4 linked regions of the Drosophila melanogaster genome follow. The protein of the gene in region 3 interacts with the protein of the main gene of each other region in a pairwise test. Each region holds a gene or a part of one and is shown on either strand. Other genes may lie near its edges.

What was found.
Region 1: the proteins of cm (region 3) and Rpt4R interact in a two-hybrid assay, tested with the Drosophila melanogaster proteins (one large-scale study listed by BioGRID).
Region 2: the proteins of cm (region 3) and CG4554 interact in a two-hybrid assay, tested with the Drosophila melanogaster proteins (one large-scale study listed by BioGRID).
Region 4: the proteins of cm (region 3) and Usf interact in a two-hybrid assay, tested with the Drosophila melanogaster proteins (one large-scale study listed by BioGRID).

The regions. Positions count from the first base shown.
Region 1 is NT_037436.4:11,940,013-11,944,013, reverse strand, and holds Rpt4R (regulatory particle triple-A ATPase 4-related), read right to left. Parts: upstream 2,103-4,001; 5' UTR 1,911-2,102; coding exon 1,293-1,910; intron 1,221-1,292; coding exon 642-1,220; 3' UTR 529-641; downstream 1-528. Other genes in the region: CG5883 (uncharacterized protein), read left to right, coding at 1-298.
Region 2 is NT_033778.4:22,481,768-22,486,350, reverse strand, and holds the start of CG4554 (uncharacterized protein), read right to left. Parts: upstream 3,049-4,583; 5' UTR 2,933-3,048; coding exon 2,888-2,932; intron 2,823-2,887; coding exon 458-2,822; intron 395-457; coding exon 1-394. Other genes in the region: CG4752 (uncharacterized protein), read right to left, coding at 3,355-3,507, 3,566-4,583.
Region 3 is NC_004354.4:7,008,495-7,012,803, forward strand, and holds cm (carmine), read right to left. Parts: upstream 2,652-4,309; 5' UTR 2,598-2,651; coding exon 2,563-2,597; intron 2,494-2,562; coding exon 2,406-2,493; intron 2,351-2,405; coding exon 2,025-2,350; intron 1,949-2,024; coding exon 1,789-1,948; intron 1,733-1,788; coding exon 1,280-1,732; intron 1,170-1,279; coding exon 984-1,169; 3' UTR 512-983; downstream 1-511. Other genes in the region: sloth1 (sloth 1), read left to right, coding at 3,109-3,262, 3,324-3,409; sloth2 (sloth 2), read left to right, coding at 3,415-3,600; CG3032 (uncharacterized protein), read right to left, coding at 3,794-4,309.
Region 4 is NC_004354.4:4,544,101-4,550,591, forward strand, and holds Usf (Usf), read right to left. Parts: upstream 4,695-6,491; 5' UTR 4,329-4,694; coding exon 3,286-4,328; intron 2,725-3,285; coding exon 2,454-2,724; 3' UTR 517-2,453; downstream 1-516. Other genes in the region: CG3568 (uncharacterized protein), read left to right, coding at 1-76, 134-304; CG15912 (uncharacterized protein), read left to right, coding at 4,974-5,714; CG11436 (uncharacterized protein), read right to left, coding at 6,310-6,491.

The sequences.
Region 1 (4,001 bases), on a different chromosome or scaffold from region 3:
CGATTTGGGATCCGGTATCCCCGATACCGATCCCATATACCAGCAGTGTGACGAGAACAACTTCTTCAACCAGGAGCGACAGGCGTGCATGCCGCGCGAGAGCCAGAAATGCGATTACGATAGATGTGATGGGCGCAAGGATGGCTTCGAAGTGGCCGAAATCGATGGATGCCACCACTACATCGAATGCGTCGATGGCCGGGAAACGACTCCCATAAGCTGTGAGGATAAGTATTTCGACGTTGTCACGCAAAACTGCAGCTCAACTCACTTAGTTTACGGAGCTTGTTCCTCTTAACTGCTAGGCATTTGCCAGCTGTTCGTAAAGTATTAATTAATTGCAAATAAAAAACCAATATCAGTGTACATACATGAAATTTTGAACTTTCGGATATCCATTAATCAGAAATTACAGAGACCATAGCGTTCGTTTGCCTAGTGTTTCTGGTCAGGAACATATATTACTTTATTGGGTTCGAAACGCATCCCTCTAATATCAAAATTTGAATCTTTTCATCAATTAGGATTAAGTTAGAAAATTATATATCTTTAATCATCATAATATTCTTTTTTAGGGTGTTAAGGTTAAATGTATGTGCCAATATATACAGTTGTTAACACCTATTGGCCTCCTGAGCTTTCTATATAGGCTTGTAGTCCAGACGAGACTCCAGCTTCTTATTGTCCGCTATTTTGCGGACGGCCTTCATGAAATCTTCTTGAATGACAAACTCCCTATCGCAGCGGAGGGCAAAAAGCCCGGCTTCCGTGCAAATGTTCCGTAGATCGGCACCATTGAACAAATCGGAGAGCTTAACCACCGCCTCATAGTCGATTTCGCCGCGTTTGTTCAGTGGTTCGGCGTGAATCTTAAGAATGTCCATACGCGCCACTTCGTTGGGCAGCGGAATTTCCAATTTGCGATCAAGTCGTCCAGGACGCAGCAGCGCCGGATCCAGTGTATCCGGACGATTGGTGGCCATGATCATTTTCACCTGGCCAAGAGCATCGAATCCATCCATCTGGTTAAGCAGTTCCATCAGCGTGCGCTGGATCTCTCGGTCGGCGGATGTTCCCTCCGAGAAGCGGCGACCACCGATTGCGTCGATCTCGTCCATGAATATGATACATGGCTGATGATCACGGGCGTATGCAAACATCTCCCGGATCAGTCGGGCACTCTCGCCAATGTACTTGTCCACAATTGCAGAGGAAACGACCTTCGGGTGAGTTTTTTAGAAACAAATTTAAATATTTATTTATAATATCTATTGCAGATGTGAAACACTGACCTTCAAGAAATTGGCGTCCATCTGGGAGGCGATGGCGCGGGCCAGGAGAGTTTTTCCGGTGCCAGGCGGTCCGTAGAGCAGGCATCCCTTGGGCGGACTTATGCCAACGCGTAGGAAAATATCTGGATTTAGTAGCGGCAGTTCAATGACCTCGCGAAGCTCGCGGATTTGCTGACCAAGTCCACCGATTTCAGCGTAGTTTACGTTTCCGGGATCTTCATGGGTCATGTTGTACACCAGGGGATCCACTTCCCGCGGCAAATAGCGCATGATGGTGAGAGTGGTCACATCCAGGGCGACACGTGTGCCGGGCTTTAGCTTCTCCTTGTTAATCTGCCGGCGACATCCGACCACGTAGCGCGGTCCGTTCGAGGCCTTCACGATGAAGTTGTCCGGTGTGAGCTGCTTCAGGATTTCCCCGACCATCTGACCCACACTCTGGAGAGCCTTCAGATCGTCCTCGGACTTTTCGTACTCGGCATTCACGACCTTGTACTTGTCTCGCAAAGCTTTCAATTTGGATTCGATCTCGCGGTGCTCCAGAAGCTTGGTACGGTAATTGGTCAGCGCCCTCACACGCTCGTCGTCTGTTGGGGGATTTGCAAGTGGAGCAGACATTCTCGAATTTTATTTCTTCCTAACTACACCGAGTGACTTTAAAATTGTGCACACGTGAAGATTTTGACGTCTGTCAATTTGAACGATGGAGCACTTCGATGAACCGGTTCATAAGAAAACGACAACGAACATCGCTCTAAAAGTTCTATTAACAGTACAGTGGAACGTGAGAGAGAAATATTAATTTAAAACAACAGAAAAATTATTTAATGACTAAAATAATATATTAAGTAAAATATATTTATTGCGAGCAACTGATGCTTACAACAATGTAGATACCTATAAAACGCCAGTAAATATTCGCCAAGATTTCGATATTAAATTTTAAGACATATTGTAATACATATTTGTATAACTATATTACAAAAAATAAGGTAAGATGACGAATTACTTAAATTTGTTTTTAAAACTATTTCATTGTTTTACAATCAAAGCCATTTATCCAAAGGTTGAAAGCTTTGAAAGCTTTCGCTCAAAGAAGATGGCGCCACTTTGTGCAGAAAAAATTCTGAAATGAGAAAAACAAATTATAAAGTAAGGAGCGTTAAAAAAGATTGAAATATTTTTTAATTTTGGCATTTTATATTTATATTTATGGATTTTAAGACTTTTACAAGTTTAGTTTAAGATGGTATTATTCTTGTTTATAGTCTTGGCCTAAAGTCACCTATTACAAGGATATTAAGAGCTGCATTTTGTGTCCACAAACTTAAACAGAAATCGACAATTGTACAGAGCCAGTGATTTCGACTTTAGTAGTCCGCTGGCACGTGAATGCCATCGAATGCGTCGGAAGGTGCTGGCCGGGAACCAAATGTCAGCACGGCATCCGGGGCCATAAATCAGGCCATTTTGTAGCACTCCGTGTTGCGGGTCCAGCTGGTTCGAGTGGTTTGGTTACCACGACCAAAATATCCAGATATCCACTGGGACAACTGCATCCACGGGTCGAAATGCCCCGCATTTGGGACACATGACAAATATGCAGTTTGCAAATGTCTAATGAATTTGAACACGCCTTGCAGCGCCAATTGGTGCCAAGTATTTTGCCTCTGGCTGTGGGTCTTTGAAACTGAAACACTTTTTCATTCCTTTTGAACCATTTCTTGTATTTAAAAATAATTACTTTGTGTTTAGAAAATTACAAAAAAAAAATTGTATCCCAAAATTACTTATTTAAGTTTGTGGCTTCGTGGTGCTTGGCTTCACCCTTTTCTGGATAAGTTGAGAAGACAGGGTAGGGTTAACATTTGGAAACCAAATCGCCGCCAGACAGCAAAAGTATCTCATGCGGGGGAAGGAACAATAACGTACAGAAATATGAAGTTTCTGGAAACGAAACCGAATTTCTATTCAATAAAGTTCGGTGGCTTGGTTGGGCTCGCAACTTGTGGCGCAGATGTTCCCGACCTTCCAGCCAAAGTTCGTTATTTGGTCAAGGAAAGAGGTCCTGTTCGAATTCGACTCACTGGCTACAGTGTCCCCATAAAAAAAATTAAACGCAGACCTCAAACAGAATGGCTTGTTGCAACTTTCACTTGTTTTCGATCTTGACTTCTGACATCCTCTGTGGCAGGGATTTGCCGTCGAGGACATGGGCGTGGCTGGCCAACATGTTCACGAAAAATTATGGCTTGACTCCGACATTGTTGAGCCCTTCACGGGCCAACTTTTGGTTCTCTTTCCAAGTTATTAAGCTTTAAATAAAGAAGAATCCTTTTTAAATTGTTTAGACAGCAAAATTCCCACGGGAATTTGCAGTAAGCCAATGTTTCAAAATAATTATTTGTTGGCTTTACAAGACAATAGGAAACCACATTTTTCTGTTTTTTTCTTAATATTTAAATATTTTTAATTACCACAACGCCTTCACATTTACGTGAAAGGTTTAAATAAAACCAATTTAAACGTCTATTTAGTAGATATTTCCTGTAATTATTAACAAATAATTGTTGTGCCATAGAAAAAATTTAATTTATTATAAGAGAACGGCAATTAATATAATTATATAATAATTAATTATTCCTTTGCCTGCATACTAAGATTAAAATAAGTCACTTAATGGAGCAATGGATATATATCCACAAAGTT
Region 2 (4,583 bases), on a different chromosome or scaffold from region 3:
ATCAACTCTGATCTTTGCTGAGCCGTAATGCTCGACAGTTCGAAACCACTGAGCGTTGTTTTGAATTTTTCTTCATCAATAAGCCCCGATAACTGAGCCTTTTGTTGCACCAGAGCTGCTGGTTGCTTGTAGGCCGCAAGGCAATCCAAAGCCAATTGTTGTAACTGGGAGTTAGGGCCGGCTAGAAGCTCCAGATAAAAGTCATGCATCTCCGCCTGACGATGCAAAGCCTTGGGGTTGGGCTGGGATACGAAACAGGCAAGTTTTAACTGAAGCGTTTGCAGAATAAACTTTGTGTGGGCATTTTGGGTTCTCCTCTTTTGACGGCCTCGGGGCTCGGGTTTGGTTTCATTGTTTTCATTTTCATCATCCTCCTCAACGTCAATATCCGCAGCTAAAGTAGAGTGAACAGCTTTGAAAAACTGATGGATAATGGATATTCATTTAATTAACTTACCCGTCGCCTCGTTCACATTCCAAGTATGCTCCGATTTCTCCAATTGTGCGCGATATTCGTTATCCACAAACTGCAGAAACAATCGCACCAAATCAGCATTCTTTACCTCAGCAAGTGTGCCCAATTTGGGCACGCTTTGCCATAGAAGCTGGCGGTAGTTGAGGGCCTGCTGAAGGGTCAATTGTTGCTCCCCAGGCAAAGTCAGGAGCATGGTTAGTGCTGCCGATTGGTAGTCCCTTTGATATGGCACTTGCAATGTTGTAACTTCCTTCTTGTAGTCTATGCAGGCAACAGTATCGACTAACTTGGCCTTAAATAATGTCCAGAACTCATCCACTGTCATGGTCTTGACGTAGGCAGCCAGGAGCTGTTGAACCGGAGCCCACACAAACTTGAAATTGTTGTATAAAAGGCCAAGTAAGAGGCTAACGGCGTGCTCCTTGAAATGTGGCAACTGGGAGAACTGTTTGAACTGAGCAGATGCCGGCTCCAATTGCTGCAGTTGGAGGAGTAGCTCGCGGTAATTGTGGACAGTGGGCTCGATGCAGGCGGCGGCATTAAAATGGGAATACGGATTTGGTTTGCTCGAGGAGTTAAGCACATCCAAACAGTGGGCAGCTATGCGTCTGTATAGCGATACAGGCTGGCTTAGAAGACCTCCAATTCCGAAAAGTAATTCATCTGAAGTGGATAGCTCGTTCTTGGGGCCTTGTAAAAGAACCACTTGCAAGCAAGCCAAAGCTCGAATGTCCTTTCCCAGTTCAGGAATAAGGTAACCATTAAGAGAAGATCGCAAACTCTTAGGTAAGTTAAATTTGAGCAGTGCGTGAGTTTGAAGTAGCAGGAGCAGTTGTGTAAAATCCTTTCCGTTATCGCATATGAGCTTTTCAATAACTGATTGCAATCCTTGTTCTAATGGCTGCTTGTTAAAACCCCTCAAATGGGGAACTAGGATGATTAAAAGTAGATGTTCCTCTTTGGTCAGGTCTAGGTGCAGAAGTTCTTGTTCCACTAATTTAATGGTGTCCTTTTGTTTTAACTGGAGAGGATATGCCACCCATTGGGCCAGTGAGTTACCATCAACTTTTAGCGGCCGTTTGTGCAGAACGATGCGAGCCAGCAACTCCCGCGCTCTTAATTGCCTCTGTTCTTCAAAGTACCCAATAACGTTGGGGAGAACCAGAATCTCAAACTGTGAATAGTCCAGAAGCTGCAGAATGGCGTCTTCGTACACGGTCACTTGTTTTCGACTTATGCTTAACAGCTTTTGCAGCAGACGGCTGGCATCCAACTGGGATAGTTGAGTGTGCTGAGCCTTCAACAGACTGGTCACCAATGTTGTTAAGGGCTGAAGAGGATCCAGTTCCCGGTCCAAAAGCTTTAGCAGAGTGCCAACTACCAGCGGAAGCTCGGAGACATATCGCCCATCCTTGTGGGTGACCAGGGGAAGCATTAAGTCGATAACCCTTTGTTCATCCACGCTTTCACTGCTCGCAGCCGAACAGAGTTTCTGCCACAGAATGTTGCTTTGGTCTGAGCGCAGAAAGTTGAGCAGCAGACCCAAAGAATACTCCACGATATCTCCCAAAAGTTCTGTTTGGTCTTTGGTGTGAGCGGAATCCTTGTTGACAAGCACCTCCAGGACGTGGGCAAAGATTTCGGCCGCCGAGTTGTGCAGCTGTCCGTTGACGCCGCGCAGAATTTCGTAGATGAGTCGTCCGCAGCCGTGGACACTCTCCACCTGCTCACGCAACACAGTCTTCAGCACATAGGTCAGGAAACGCGGGAAATCACGGACATCACGAGCAATGTAGGCAAAGCATTCTACCGCAAAGTTGGTCACATGCTCGGCATAGTGCTGTTCATCCAGAAGCGGTAGAATTGCATTGAAGACAACACCTATGTTGCGCTTCAAATAAGGCTTGAGCGTCTTGAACAAATGCGCCAGGCAGATGAGCGTCCATTCCAGTTGCTCGGAGTCTTGGGTGTTCAGCAGGCAGATAAGTCGGTCCAGGACTCGCTGGAAGTACGGGTAGAACTCCTCACGGAGATCCTTGGCCAGGACATAGAGCAGTTCCAACAGCGGCTGTTGGGACAAATTCGTGGCGGTGGAAAGACGTTCCAGGAGCAAGTCTACAACAAAATCCTTCTGGTGCAGCAGCTGCGGCAGGGTGACTATCTTGCGACAGCGCTTGCTGAAGTAGTTGTACTCCTCGGAGAGATTGAGCACGTTCCATTTCTGAATCGTCTGCTGGAAGTAGGTGGCATTCTCCTCTTCGTCGAGCTCCTCGTTCCGATGGCCGATGTGGTAGAGGGCCAAGTGCCGCAGGTCGATTTCATTCACCCGATCTCCGAAAGATTTGAACTGCGGGTGAAAAACGTGTAAGGCGGTTGGTCACCAAACAACTCGAGACTTCTGGGGACACTCACCCGAAAGGTATTGGTGTCCTTCGTTTTTTCCGCTAAAGATGCCATGTTTCTACAGTTTACACTCGACTGCTTAATTTACGGAAAAAACTCTTTTGTTTACGGACAATTTTCTTTCAAATGCAACACGTGCGAAACATATTTACGCACTGTTATCGATAGACAGTCGGCGATTGCACTTACTGAAAACATATGTTCGCTTGAAAATATCGATAGTACAGCATATCGTTCCGAAATGGCGCACTTTTTTAAATGGTCTTCGAAACAATTTAACTTTATAGAATCTTCATTAAATAAAAATTAATTGAATATTAACTGAACATTTTATATGCAATTTTCCACAGCTCGCTGTAATATGCGCCACTCAGTTTGTTTGTTTGATAAGGTCTTTTAAAAAAATAACTCAGTGTTTCAAAAGTCAAGGGACATTTATTAATATGGCACATATAAAAGCGAAATCAAAAATTTGCTTAGGCAGACTCCTGGCACTGAAGATAATTAAAGACAGTTCCTCGTTCCACGTATCGTTTGCTGGTTTCCTGATTCAAGGATTCACCGGACTTGGAAAAGTCTTCAATTGGTCCATACCCACCCCCGCCGGGAGTTTTCATGGCAAAGGTGTCCTGAAAAGGATGGATAAGTAGTTAGTTGAGTTACAAATAAATGCATATCAAAGTATACCCCAGCTTCCACATCAATGCAGGTTTTGCCTGCCAGAGCGATCACTCGACCATCCCGTTTCACCACCAAATTGCGTCCACTCTTCCCGGATTCTCCACCTGCGAGACCGTAGGGCTGCAGAGTTCGTCTCTCTGTCAGGACGGACAGGGTAACTGGCTTGCGGAAGAGGAGATCCCGCTCCACACCCTCGCCTCCGTGGAACTGACCTCTTCCGCCGGAGCCATCGGTGCGAAGGCAGAATCTCTTCAGGATCATGGGATAGCGCAGTTCAAGGATCTCCGGATCAGTGATGCGAGTGTTCGTCATGTGGGTATGCACTCCGCCGGCTCCATGCCAGCCGGGCCCAGCACCAGCTCCTCCGGCCACAGTCTCATAGTAACCCCAAGACTCATCCCCAATAGTTATATTGTTCATGCATCCTTGCGAGGCGGCACAAACTCCGAAAGCCTTCAGAACCGTGTCTACGATGCGCTGCGATGTCTGCACATTGCCGCCGACCACAGCTGCTCCCTCTGAGGGATCCAGGATGGAGTTTTTCGGAATGATCACCTGGATGGGTGCCAGGCAGCCCTGGTTGAGTGGCACATCATGGCCCACCATGCAGCGCAGGCAGTAGATTAGGGCGGACAAGGTAATAGCCCGCGGAGCATTACAGTTGCCCCACACTTCCACTCCCGATCCGGTGAAGTCACAAAGAGCCGAACCCTGCTCCGCATCGATGGTCACCTTAAGGGCGATGGGTGATCCGTCGTCCATGAACTCCTTCGCCTCTAGCACTGTCGATCCAGTGCGCTCCAAAGTATCCCGGCCAATCTGACGCAACATATCCCGAACCGCCAGTTCGGCGTTCTTTTGGATGTGCGACATGTAGGCCTGGACCACATCTAATCCATAGCTGCCGATCAGCTCCGCCACCAGCTGGATGCCCTTGTGGTTGGCGGCGATCTGAGCCTTCAGATCTGATAGGTTGTCGCTCAGGTTCCGGGTTCCCACAGCTCCCTTTGCTGCCGTGGGCGTG
Region 3 (4,309 bases):
AGCCCCAAACATTTTGTGCCCGTTCAAGAGCTGGCTCTCTCTGTGTGTGTGTGTGTGTGTGTATAACATGTCTAGCCATGGTCGACGTCGCCTTTCGGTGGCGCTTGTTGGCTACCGTTGCACGCCGCGCCCAAAAGCCTAGAAGCTGTTGCTGCTTGCGGCTGCCATGGGTCAAGGGGGGCGGTCCAAGGCATGCATCGGGGGCGTGGCAGGGCAAACCGGTTACCGGTCTCGGCCAGAGGCAAAAATGCAGCTAAGCTTGTAGAAGGAGATAACGAGGCAACACAGTGAAACCTCGTGTGCTTGTTAATTGCATTAAAAAAAAACTGATTCTAATAGGGATTTAACGAAAAACTCATTGAAGAGTCAAATAGAAATTGAATTTGGGTTTCTTCTTAACAAAATGCGTGGGGTATAGTGTAATGTCACAACTCGATAATTTGATCAGTCTTTCACTTTTCAGCACTCTTGCCTAGAAATGTACGTTAGCGAGTCTCTACTTCTTCGCATTGTTCACACACATTGATAAACAAGATGTATACACACTATTCGTATGCTAAATGCGTTGGCCTGGCTGCAAAATCAAGTTTTGCATTTTCATTTGAATTTATTGGTTTCCTCGCTGGCTGTTGCCAGGCGCACTGCGATCGAGTGGAGTGACTTGACTTGGAGTGCAGTGCAGTCGACGGTGCCATTGCCATGCGATGCCATGCCAAGCCACGCCACTCGAAGACTTGCAACTTCATTCCCAATCAATTCTCGCATTCTTACTCTTCGAATATGGCGACGGCGTCCAAGAACAACGACAAGGCGACTACACTTGAAGTTAATATTTTATGGGTAGAGATATAGATACATAAATGAGATACACAGGGAGAGAGACGAGGGCTAGAACATCAAATGAAAAAAAAAAAAACAAGCGGAATACACTTAACGTTAGCTATTAATTAAAGCTGGAATTGGAATCCGGATGATGATTTTGTCTACATCCGCACCTGGAACTTGCCCGCCTTGGTCAGGTATTTGACGCCCTTGAAAGGCTTGTACTTCTCGCCGTACATGTCCAGGCGATTTACCTTTAGCCCAGAGACGGCCAGCTGCGAGATTTGGAACTGGACATTCACGGATGGATTGGCATCGATGTTGGTCGTACCGGGCGTAATGGAAACCTAGGCGTGCAAGGACAGTATATTATTAATGGGATAAAAATATAAATAATTTAAGACGTTAGATACATGAATCGTGTAAAAGTGTAAAGGGTCTCAATAGTTATTCTTACCGATCCCCTAATATTTGGCAACTTGGAAACATCGATCCGTCCCACATCCCAGGACAGCGTCTTGGTCACCGAATCGAAGGTATACTTTCCCTGATTCGGCGTCAATAGGCAATTAAGCACACACCGCGGCATGGTCAGCTCCAGCTTCACCTTGTCAACGGTGCGACCAAGGGTGTTCCTCGGGCCAATCGTGAGGTCCAGACGCCCCTGCTCACCCGTTTTGATCGAAAAGTTGTGCCTGATGTAGATGGGTATGGCCACCACGGACTGAGAGCTAATGTGATATGACATCAGGCGGAAGTTTCCGTCGGGCGGGATAAAGGAGAGCAGGCGCTCCGCCTCCCAGCGCTTGTAGCGCACGCAAGGATGGAAGGAAACGTCGTCGAAGAGGCGAGGATTCATGAAAGATAACGTCAGATCTGGCATGCCGGATAACTTAATGCAGCAGTCGATCTGATAAAAAAATAAAAGAGATAGAAATTATTTTTATAGACTTAAGTGAAACTTACGTGTCCCTGGATCTCGGCAAAGACCGTGGATCCGGATTTATCAATGATAGCGTCCACCTCCTCGATGACATCGAAGTACGCCTCGTTGTTGGTGTACCTCACGCCGCTTCTGCGCCAGCGAACCGCCGACAGCTGACCCGAGGGCAAAGTAGTGCTTACACTTCGGAAATCGGATTATTAATTGGATTATTAAGGTAAATGAAAGACAAAGACGGAGGGAGCATCATTCAACTTACTTGCTCTTGCCCGTCACCGTGTTGGCAATGGTGCGCAGGATATTGGGCGGCTTGATCAGCTCCTTGAGGATGTTGCTCTCGGTGGCCAGTGGGAAGCCATTATCGAGCATCTCGTCCAGCAGCTCGTAAACGACCACATAGTTGTCCTTGATCACGGACTCGGAGCAGTCGCCGAAATAGTCCTGGAAGGTGTCCACCACGCGATGCAGGAACTCGATGACAAAGAGCGGCGGCACCTCCTGCTTGCAGGCGGCGACCAAAGACACCGTGTCCCTTTGCACTGTAATCAGGTAGTAGTGGGGCGTGGCTATCACCGGCGGCACATCCTGCAACAAAGAGATATGGTCAGCATACAACCCATACGTGGCACGGGCGACTCACATATGGAGCAGCGCGCTGGGCGTCAAGGAAGTATTCGCACACAGATCTCGAGACAACCGAGCGCCAATGCTTTTCCAGGAAGACCTCGCTGAAATGCGGATATATGGGTATATGGGTATTACATCGTCTTCACATTTCACTTATAGGTATGGCTTACCCGCCGCTGTTTACAATAAACAGACTGTGTATCATAATTCGACCTAAATTGCTTGCTAGTTTAAGCTATGTTTTTTTTTCAGGGATGAATCATTAGCGATGACAGCGTGAAGGTGTTCTACTACCATGCTCCCGAAGCGCTTCAGTAACTGTTAAATAATTTCATTAAATTGAAATTAAGATAGGCTGAAATAAACGAACATTTATTTAAGGGGCCTTATACATAGTTAACTTATGAATTTATTTACTAACGTTGTGTTGTCATCACATCAGCTCATCACTAGCTCACTCGCTCATCTCTAATCGAACAGCTGATTGCTGCGAACCGGAACAAATGGAAATTGTATCGTGAGGCAAGTGGAGTTTCCCCTTTACTTTTGGCAAATAATAAATAAACAAAGGAACAAGCCTAAACATTTTCAATTAAACCATATACAGAACTAACGCACACATGTGACGGAGGCAATACACAAACACGGCACCTTTGAATCTCGCCTTAAAATTGGCGAAACCAACACGGAATTATATAACCGCCGGCTGAAAACACATGAGTCCGTACAGCGGATCCGTGCGTCGTCTGCTGGACAGTTGGCCAGGAAAGAAGCGCTTCGGTGTCTACCGCTTCCTGCCGCTCTTCTTTTTACTGGGCGCCGGCCTGGAATTCTCCATGATCAATTGGACAGTGGGCGAGACCAATTTCTGTGAGACTGCTACGCTTAAAACCTTACTTTTATTTACTAATACGGAATCTTTTCCATGCAGACCGCACTTTTAAGCGCCGCCAGGCGAAGAACTACGTGGAAGAGCAGCAGCATCTGCAGGCGCGAGCCGCGAATAACACCAACTAAGCAAAATGCCCGCCGGAGTTTCCTGGGGCCAGTACCTGAAATTCCTCGGCTGTGCCCTGGCATCCATGATGGCCGGATCGCAGGCTGTTCACCTTTACTATAAGCCTCTGGAGGACTTGCGCGTCTACATCGAACAGGAGCAACACAGCACACAGGTGGATCCCACCGCAAAGCCACCGGAATCTGCATAACACTGTGTACTAGACAAGTTATTGGTGACTAAAGCTATTTAAGTGAATGCCTGCTGTTTGTTGAGGAAAGGGTTGTTGGCATAGCACCTTCATGTCCTACGAAGAGCGTTACCTGTTCCAGAACATTCAAAAGACGCCACGTTTCCACTTAATCAGTCTATTTTAAAATCTTTTCCACTAAGGCTAGCTAAGACTACTTCTCGTGCACCTTCCGGTGGTTTTTAAGACACGTCTGCTGCCGGAAGGCCTGTCCACAGGTGTCGCAAATGTAGGGCTTCTCACCCGTGTGTATGTACTCATGGTGCCGCAGGGTTTTCCTAGAAGCAAAGCTCTCCGGACAGTGGTGACAGGGAAAGGGTTTCAGCTTTAAGTGGACTGCTCTCACATGGGCTTCGAGCTCGAATCGCCTGGCAAATCTTCTGCCGCAGTGCTCGCAGGGCAACTTGTCGTTCGAGTGCATCAGCATGTGCTGCAGCAGCATGAACTTCTTGGCCATCCGGCGTCCACAGACCTGGCATTCGTGGGGCAACTCTTCCTGCACCTCGTGCTGCTGCAAAGTGTGGTACTTGAGGGTGTATCGTGAATGGAACTCCTTTTGACAAATGTCGCAGAAATGGCGCTCTCCGGCGCCGCCCTCCCTGGCGGCCACCTCGTCCTCCGTGGGATGCTTTGTCTTAAGGTGGTATTTAAGATTCGCCGACTGGTTAAA
Region 4 (6,491 bases), 2.5 Mb from region 3:
ACTAACGGAGGACATGTTGCCCGTGGTGACATACGCCTGGGATGGAAATGCCCTGCCTGGCAACGAATTTTGGGCGGTATGCAAGAAGTGACTCTACTAAGGTTTACAATTTGTAATGCTTATTTCCCTACAGAATATGCTAATCAGCACTGGGGATCCAGCAGCAGCCTGTTCCACTTTAATCTCTGAACTCCAAAATCCCCACATTAATGTGCACTATATGAACGGAGCCAATCTGCACATTGCATCAGTGGAACACGGACTACTCCATGTAGGCGACTACGCTAGGCGACTGATTGTGTAAACACAATGTATCTAAGCACTATGTAATCCTTAAAATATATTACAATAAAGAGATCAGCTTTTTTGCTGATACATATGTACATATGTACATATGTACATATGAACATATGAACTTATGGAATCATGGAAAGCCAGCTGTGCGAACAAACCACCATATTCTTCTAAAGAATCAATGCCCGCATGCCAACAATTCCATTGAATGAGAAATTGATTGTGTGTGTTAACCATTACTGAGTTCGTTTATTGAAATTGAATAGAATTATTAGCTGTCAAATGACAGAAATGTGATATTATTGTAATGTACTGCATATAGATAGCAACAAGTAACACAAGATCCCATTTCGTTTTCGGCCATGGGTTAAATAATCCAATTCCCAGTACCCCATCTTATATCTTAAAATCCTGAATCTTAGTGTGTTTGTATTTTGGTGTGGTTGGTGTGTTTGATTTCTTTTTTTTTTTTTTTGCTTTTTTTTTTGGCATTTTCATTATTACAAATGAATCGTATTTAAAACACTTCTGTTCTGTATACTTATACTTCTGAAACAGCGTCGTATATCGAAAACAGTGATATAACATTCACAACAACATTATGCTCAAATATAATATAATATAATATTATTCTTTATCAACAATAGCATTTTATCTGTAACGGTGCACACGCCCCCGGCGAGCAGTGCGGCATTATATAGCCGCATCTCGCTCGAATTCCCACTGTTCTACCGACTGCACTACGTATGTACACTTGCCTCTCGCTCTTTCTCTCTCTCTCTCTCTATATATATATATAGACCATATATATTTATATATATATATAATATATATACGATATAACTAGATATAGTATATTTTCGTTACATTTTTTTTTTTTTTGTAGGTAATTAGTGCCGAGAAACAGTACAATAAAATCGAAAAATCAAGCACAAACATGCTCCAAATATGATTTAGTTAAAGGTATATATGCAATAGGTAGGTATCGTTAACGCTTTTAGATTTTTTCTAGGCTTGTATTTCTGGGTAATTCATAGGTATGTATGTACGTTTGTATATAATGATGGCAAACCGCTTGAGGATCCGAGAACATAAATCATTTCACATCTGTGCAATCGAACTTTTGTTACTCAAACTTCAGACTTACAACTAATTTCCTGTATAACAACAAATCGAAAACTTTGTTAACCACTTCAGTTTCCACTTTCACTTTCAGCAAGAAATTACTTATACTTATACTTATCTTGCGCTGTACTTTGCTAATATTTCAATATTGATATTTTTGAAAAACATATTTCGATTTAAATACAACAATCTCTTGTTGAAAGTGAATACATAGTGAATTCTCTTGAATGAACACAAAGAGTTTGTTTGAAACATGGCTAAGTTATAGTTCTAGATTCGCTGCGCAAATCAAAACAACTATACCTACGTATATCTTAAACATAATGTAATACGAAAAAAAAAAACATGGAAGAACAGAACGTGCTTTAAAGCTTCTTATCAACAATATTTGTTTGTGATCTAATATTCCAAGACTCTAAACAAAATATGATAATGATCGCGGCATGGGGGTGGTACAAAAATTCGTTCGATCGTTATTTTCATGATTTGTTTTTTTTCTTTTTGGGCGCTCACTTTTTGGAGGGGGGGGTTGGTTAGGAATAATACCAATAACAGATACATATAACATACAAAAGCAGCTGTGTTGTGCCGTGGCTCGTTAATTAAACTCAATTGAGAACAGCTTTTTGTCAAAGCGGTTAGGCCAACAACTTGGCTTGAGTCACCCAAGTTCGACTGCATATATGTACATGCATATACATAGCCATATACATAACCATATACACATATCGATACACATATGTAATATATGCTGCTTTTCTTATATAACATATAACAGAGCGGCGATAACAAGGAATCACTCGTCATGTCCGTTTATTGTACTGCGTGTGTTGCGTTGCGTGTACGTTGCACGTCATTCTTTGGTGGATGGGCGTATATGTTTGTTGAAGGCGCCAGGGCTTGTCCATCCGCCGCCTCCATATTTGTTTATTCCCGTAACCAGCAACCCAATCGGTCCACCCATATGTTTTTCATTTCTATTTTTTTTTTTTTTTTTTTTGTCTATCCACTCCTATTTCGCAGGCAGATTTTGTTTACTCATCAAAATCGCTGATCAGCAGGCCACGCTTGCCGAATCCCAGCGACGAGACGGCGGCCAGATTGGGTGTCGTATCGATTCCCTCGAATAGATCACTGGTCGCGGAACTGTTCAGCGAATTTAGGGTAACATTAAACGTCGATCTTCCGCCGGCCGTGTGGAAGCGTTCCTGGAGCTGCTGCTGACGCTTCAGGCGATCAAGTTCCTCGCGCAGCGCCTGGTTGCTGGCCCTTAGGCTATCCGTCTCCCTTAGACAGTCGCGCAGCCTGTTTATTGGTGGGGATAGACAAAGTTGAGTAATTGGTTTGTTTATGTTTGGTGATCGGTGAATCGGTGGATCAGGTGTTTGATTGGCTTTGTATGATTTTGTTGGGTTTTGTTTGGGTGGAAACCGCATTCGATCAGTGTGAGAGAGTGTTGTGTTCAAGACTTGAGTGACACAGGGACATTCGAGAGTCCAGCTCATATTGCACGAGATAGTGGCGAAAAAGAACCGCTCCAAAATGGGGATTTTGTTTTGCAAAAAGATAACACCAGCCCTATATCAGCACTTTAAGTACGCATTTCTACGGAAAAAGTGGGAAAGATCAAGTGTCCGCCCTTTGGGTAACTTTATTCCTAACCGTATGCGATCGATACATGATGTAAGCTCAATTGAGCGAATGGAGTTGATTAAGATCTATAAGCAAACTCATTTTTTAAGACCATTAACAAGTCAAAAAAGTTATATAGCTGTATATATAACTGTAGTACAGCAACTTATAGCGGACAATATTTGTGGATTTCTGATTCAGTGGTTTCCCCCCTACAAACCCGTCTCCACTCACGTGTCAATCTCGCCCTGCATGCTCTTGATGTACTCGCATGCCTTGATCAGGATCTGCGATTTGGAGTCATTGGGCGGCGCTCGTCCGCTGGAACTGCTGGCATTGCCTTTGGAATGGCTACTTCCGTTGGTACTCGTACTTCCGCTGGTGCTGGGACTCGTGCTGGCCTCGCTGAAACTGGAGCTGGAGCTCAGACTGGGCAGCATCTCCTTGAGCTTGAAGATCCAGCTGTTGATCTTGTCGCGGCGCCGGCGTTCGACCTCGTTGTGCGTGGCACGACGTTTATCATCGCGTTTCTTGTACGCCTCCAGTTTGCTGGATGGTGTTTGGCCAGCTGATTCTGGCTGGGATCGGGCTTGGGCGTGAGCATGGCCATGGCCATGACCATTGCCATGGGAGCCATACAGGACACTGGTGGTGGTGGTGGTGCTAGTGGTGCTGGTGGTGGTGTTGATGTTACCTGGAATGGGAGGATTCACGGTCTGGGCGGTTATTACCGCGGACTGTGTGCTGGAGGAAGTTGTAACAGATGGAAGGAGCGGCTTTTCGCTTAGCGTATCTAGTTCCAGCTTGATGGCCGCCTTCGTCGGCGGCTCACCCATTAAGCTGCCGGTTTCCTTGACCAAATATATCTCACAGCCAGTGGGCAGCTGCAGATTGTTGGGCAGCTGCAAATTGCTAGGCAGCAGCGAATGGATATCTAGATCACATCCCGGTTCCTGTTTAATCGTATAGTACTCCTGCGAATCGTCCGAGTTCTCGTCTCCGCAAATGGTGAGAAATATCTGAGCACCTTGGCTATTCATCAGCGGATTTCCCGTGTCGCTGGTGAGAATCAGACTTTGCTGACCATTGGCAAAGGAACTGTGGACCAGGGCCTCTGACAAATCAGCGGTGTGGTGATTGGTAATGGTCATGAGGCCAGGTCCAGCTGTTGGATTCGCATTGCTGATATTTACGGAGGACGGGGATGTGGAAGTGTTGGTATTGCTGGTGGAGGAGCCGAATTCCATATTCAGACGTGGCCGCTTGTGAACATTCATTGTTGCATCGATGATCCGCCGTTAGCAGTACACCAATTCCAATAGCCCAATCCCAGCCAGAATCGTATCCGTGTCGCCGGGAATCACGTAACTCCGGATCTATTCGGGATCTCCTCCACTATTTGCTCCGATCTCTAGTTGGAGGATACACGGATATGGATGGTAGATATCCCCCGATCTGGCCGCTCTGCGGTATTATTAACTACCGACTGCCTCGAGGATTTGATTTGAAATCGAGCGCTGCGGCGGATTTATGGTCGTTCGTGTTCGCACGGCCATTTAACAATACGATTTGTTGATTTTTTTTGTAACAAAATTATTTTCGTTTGGCTTAGTGTGCCCGCCGGCGGGCAGCAAATATATGCCGACAAATACACACAGTACAGTTGTTGCGAAAAATACCAGAATTTAGGCAATGTATTTTTGCGGCATTTCCAAATAATTGTTTGTATTCAAAAAAAAAAATAAACTCTTCATACAAGTAGAAAATCTGTAACTTTAAAATGAAGAAAAGCATCTTCATTTAATTCAATAAACGATTCTCAACTAAGCAAATGTGTTTTTGGAGGTTTTTCGAAAATTAAAATATACCAAATGCATATACGTAATATCTAGTGGACAAACAATACCACACTGTTGGCCAAAATGTCGTTGACTTCGCAATTTGTTGCGAATTTGAAACGCTTTCGCCTGGTGACCTTCGATGTAACGGACACGCTGCTTCGCCTGGAGGATCCCCTTCGCCAGTACCATCAGACGGCAGAGGAGTTCGGGGTCACCGGAGTGGATCGCCGCCGATTGGAACAATGCTTTCGCCAGCAATTCAAGGCGATGAGCAGCGAACATCCAAACTTTGGCCGTTACTCGCCGGGATTGGATTGGCAGCGTTGGTGGCTTCAGCTGGTGGCTCGAACCTTTAGCTGCGTGGACCACGGTCTGGCGCCCGAGAAGCTGGAGAAGATCGGCCAGCGGCTAATTTCCGTTTTTCGGACCAGCGCCTGTTGGAGTCACGTGAATGGTGCCCAGGAGTTGGTGCAGAACGTCCGAAATGCCGGCAAATGTGTGGGCATCATCTCCAATTTCGATTCGTCACTGCCACAAGTCCTGGACGCCATGGGCTTTGCCGGCAAATTCGATTTCATTCTGACTTCCTACGAAGCCGGTGTTATGAAGCCCGAACGCGGTATCTTCGAAATTCCGCTGCAGAGATTGCAAATTCCAGCGGAGCAGGCCCTTCACATTGGCAACAAGTTGGATATGGACTATGAAGGTGCCCGGAATTGCGGCTGGAGCGGTTTGCTTGTGAGCAACGCTGACAATCCCCATTCTTTTGCCAGTCTTTCCAGTCTGTTGGAGGCCTTAAAAACCCAACCAATCCGATGGTAATCCACCAAAGAAACTCCTCTCGGGAACCTGCAGTTCTTCGATTGGATAATGGCTGTTGTTATTTTTGTAGATTTCCTTTTTTTTTTGCATTAAGATAACATAACTGAATGTAAAACTAGTGGTAAATATAAATACGCGATCTTAATGATATTTTTTTGGGAAATTCGAGGTAGGAGGTTTTGGACAAATATAAAACATAATATAACAAATATAAAAATAAGCTGTCTGAAAACAGAAATAAACAAAAGAGTTCTTAGTTGAATACAATTCAAAGCTTATTTCTTATCGAATGTGAAAAAGTCGTTGTTTAAATATTCATTAAAAGATATTATTAATTAAAGTGACATAACGATGCTGTATTATGCATCGAAAGAACCTCCTCCTTTCGAACATTTCCGTGTATAAAGCCTGATAAAACTATACCTGAAAACTTATCCTATACACACACACACACACACTCGCACACGTCTCTTGCACACATACCTAAATACTAATTAAGAACAGATTAATCGTACAAGCTATTTTGTGACCAAAAATATTTGGTTGCTTTGTGAAGGGAATGTGCCAGTCCATCTGTTTGTAATGGCAATCATTACTATGTAGCCTTTGTCGCCTTCGCAGGCATTTGGGCCTTGGCCGCCTTAAGCTGCTCCAAATTGAACTGTTTCCGGATTTCGGTGGACACCTGGCGAATGACCGCATCCGTATTGGCCTTTAGATCCCGTTCCAGCACATCAATGTCCACATCCTTGCTCTCCAATCGCATTTGCATGTCCG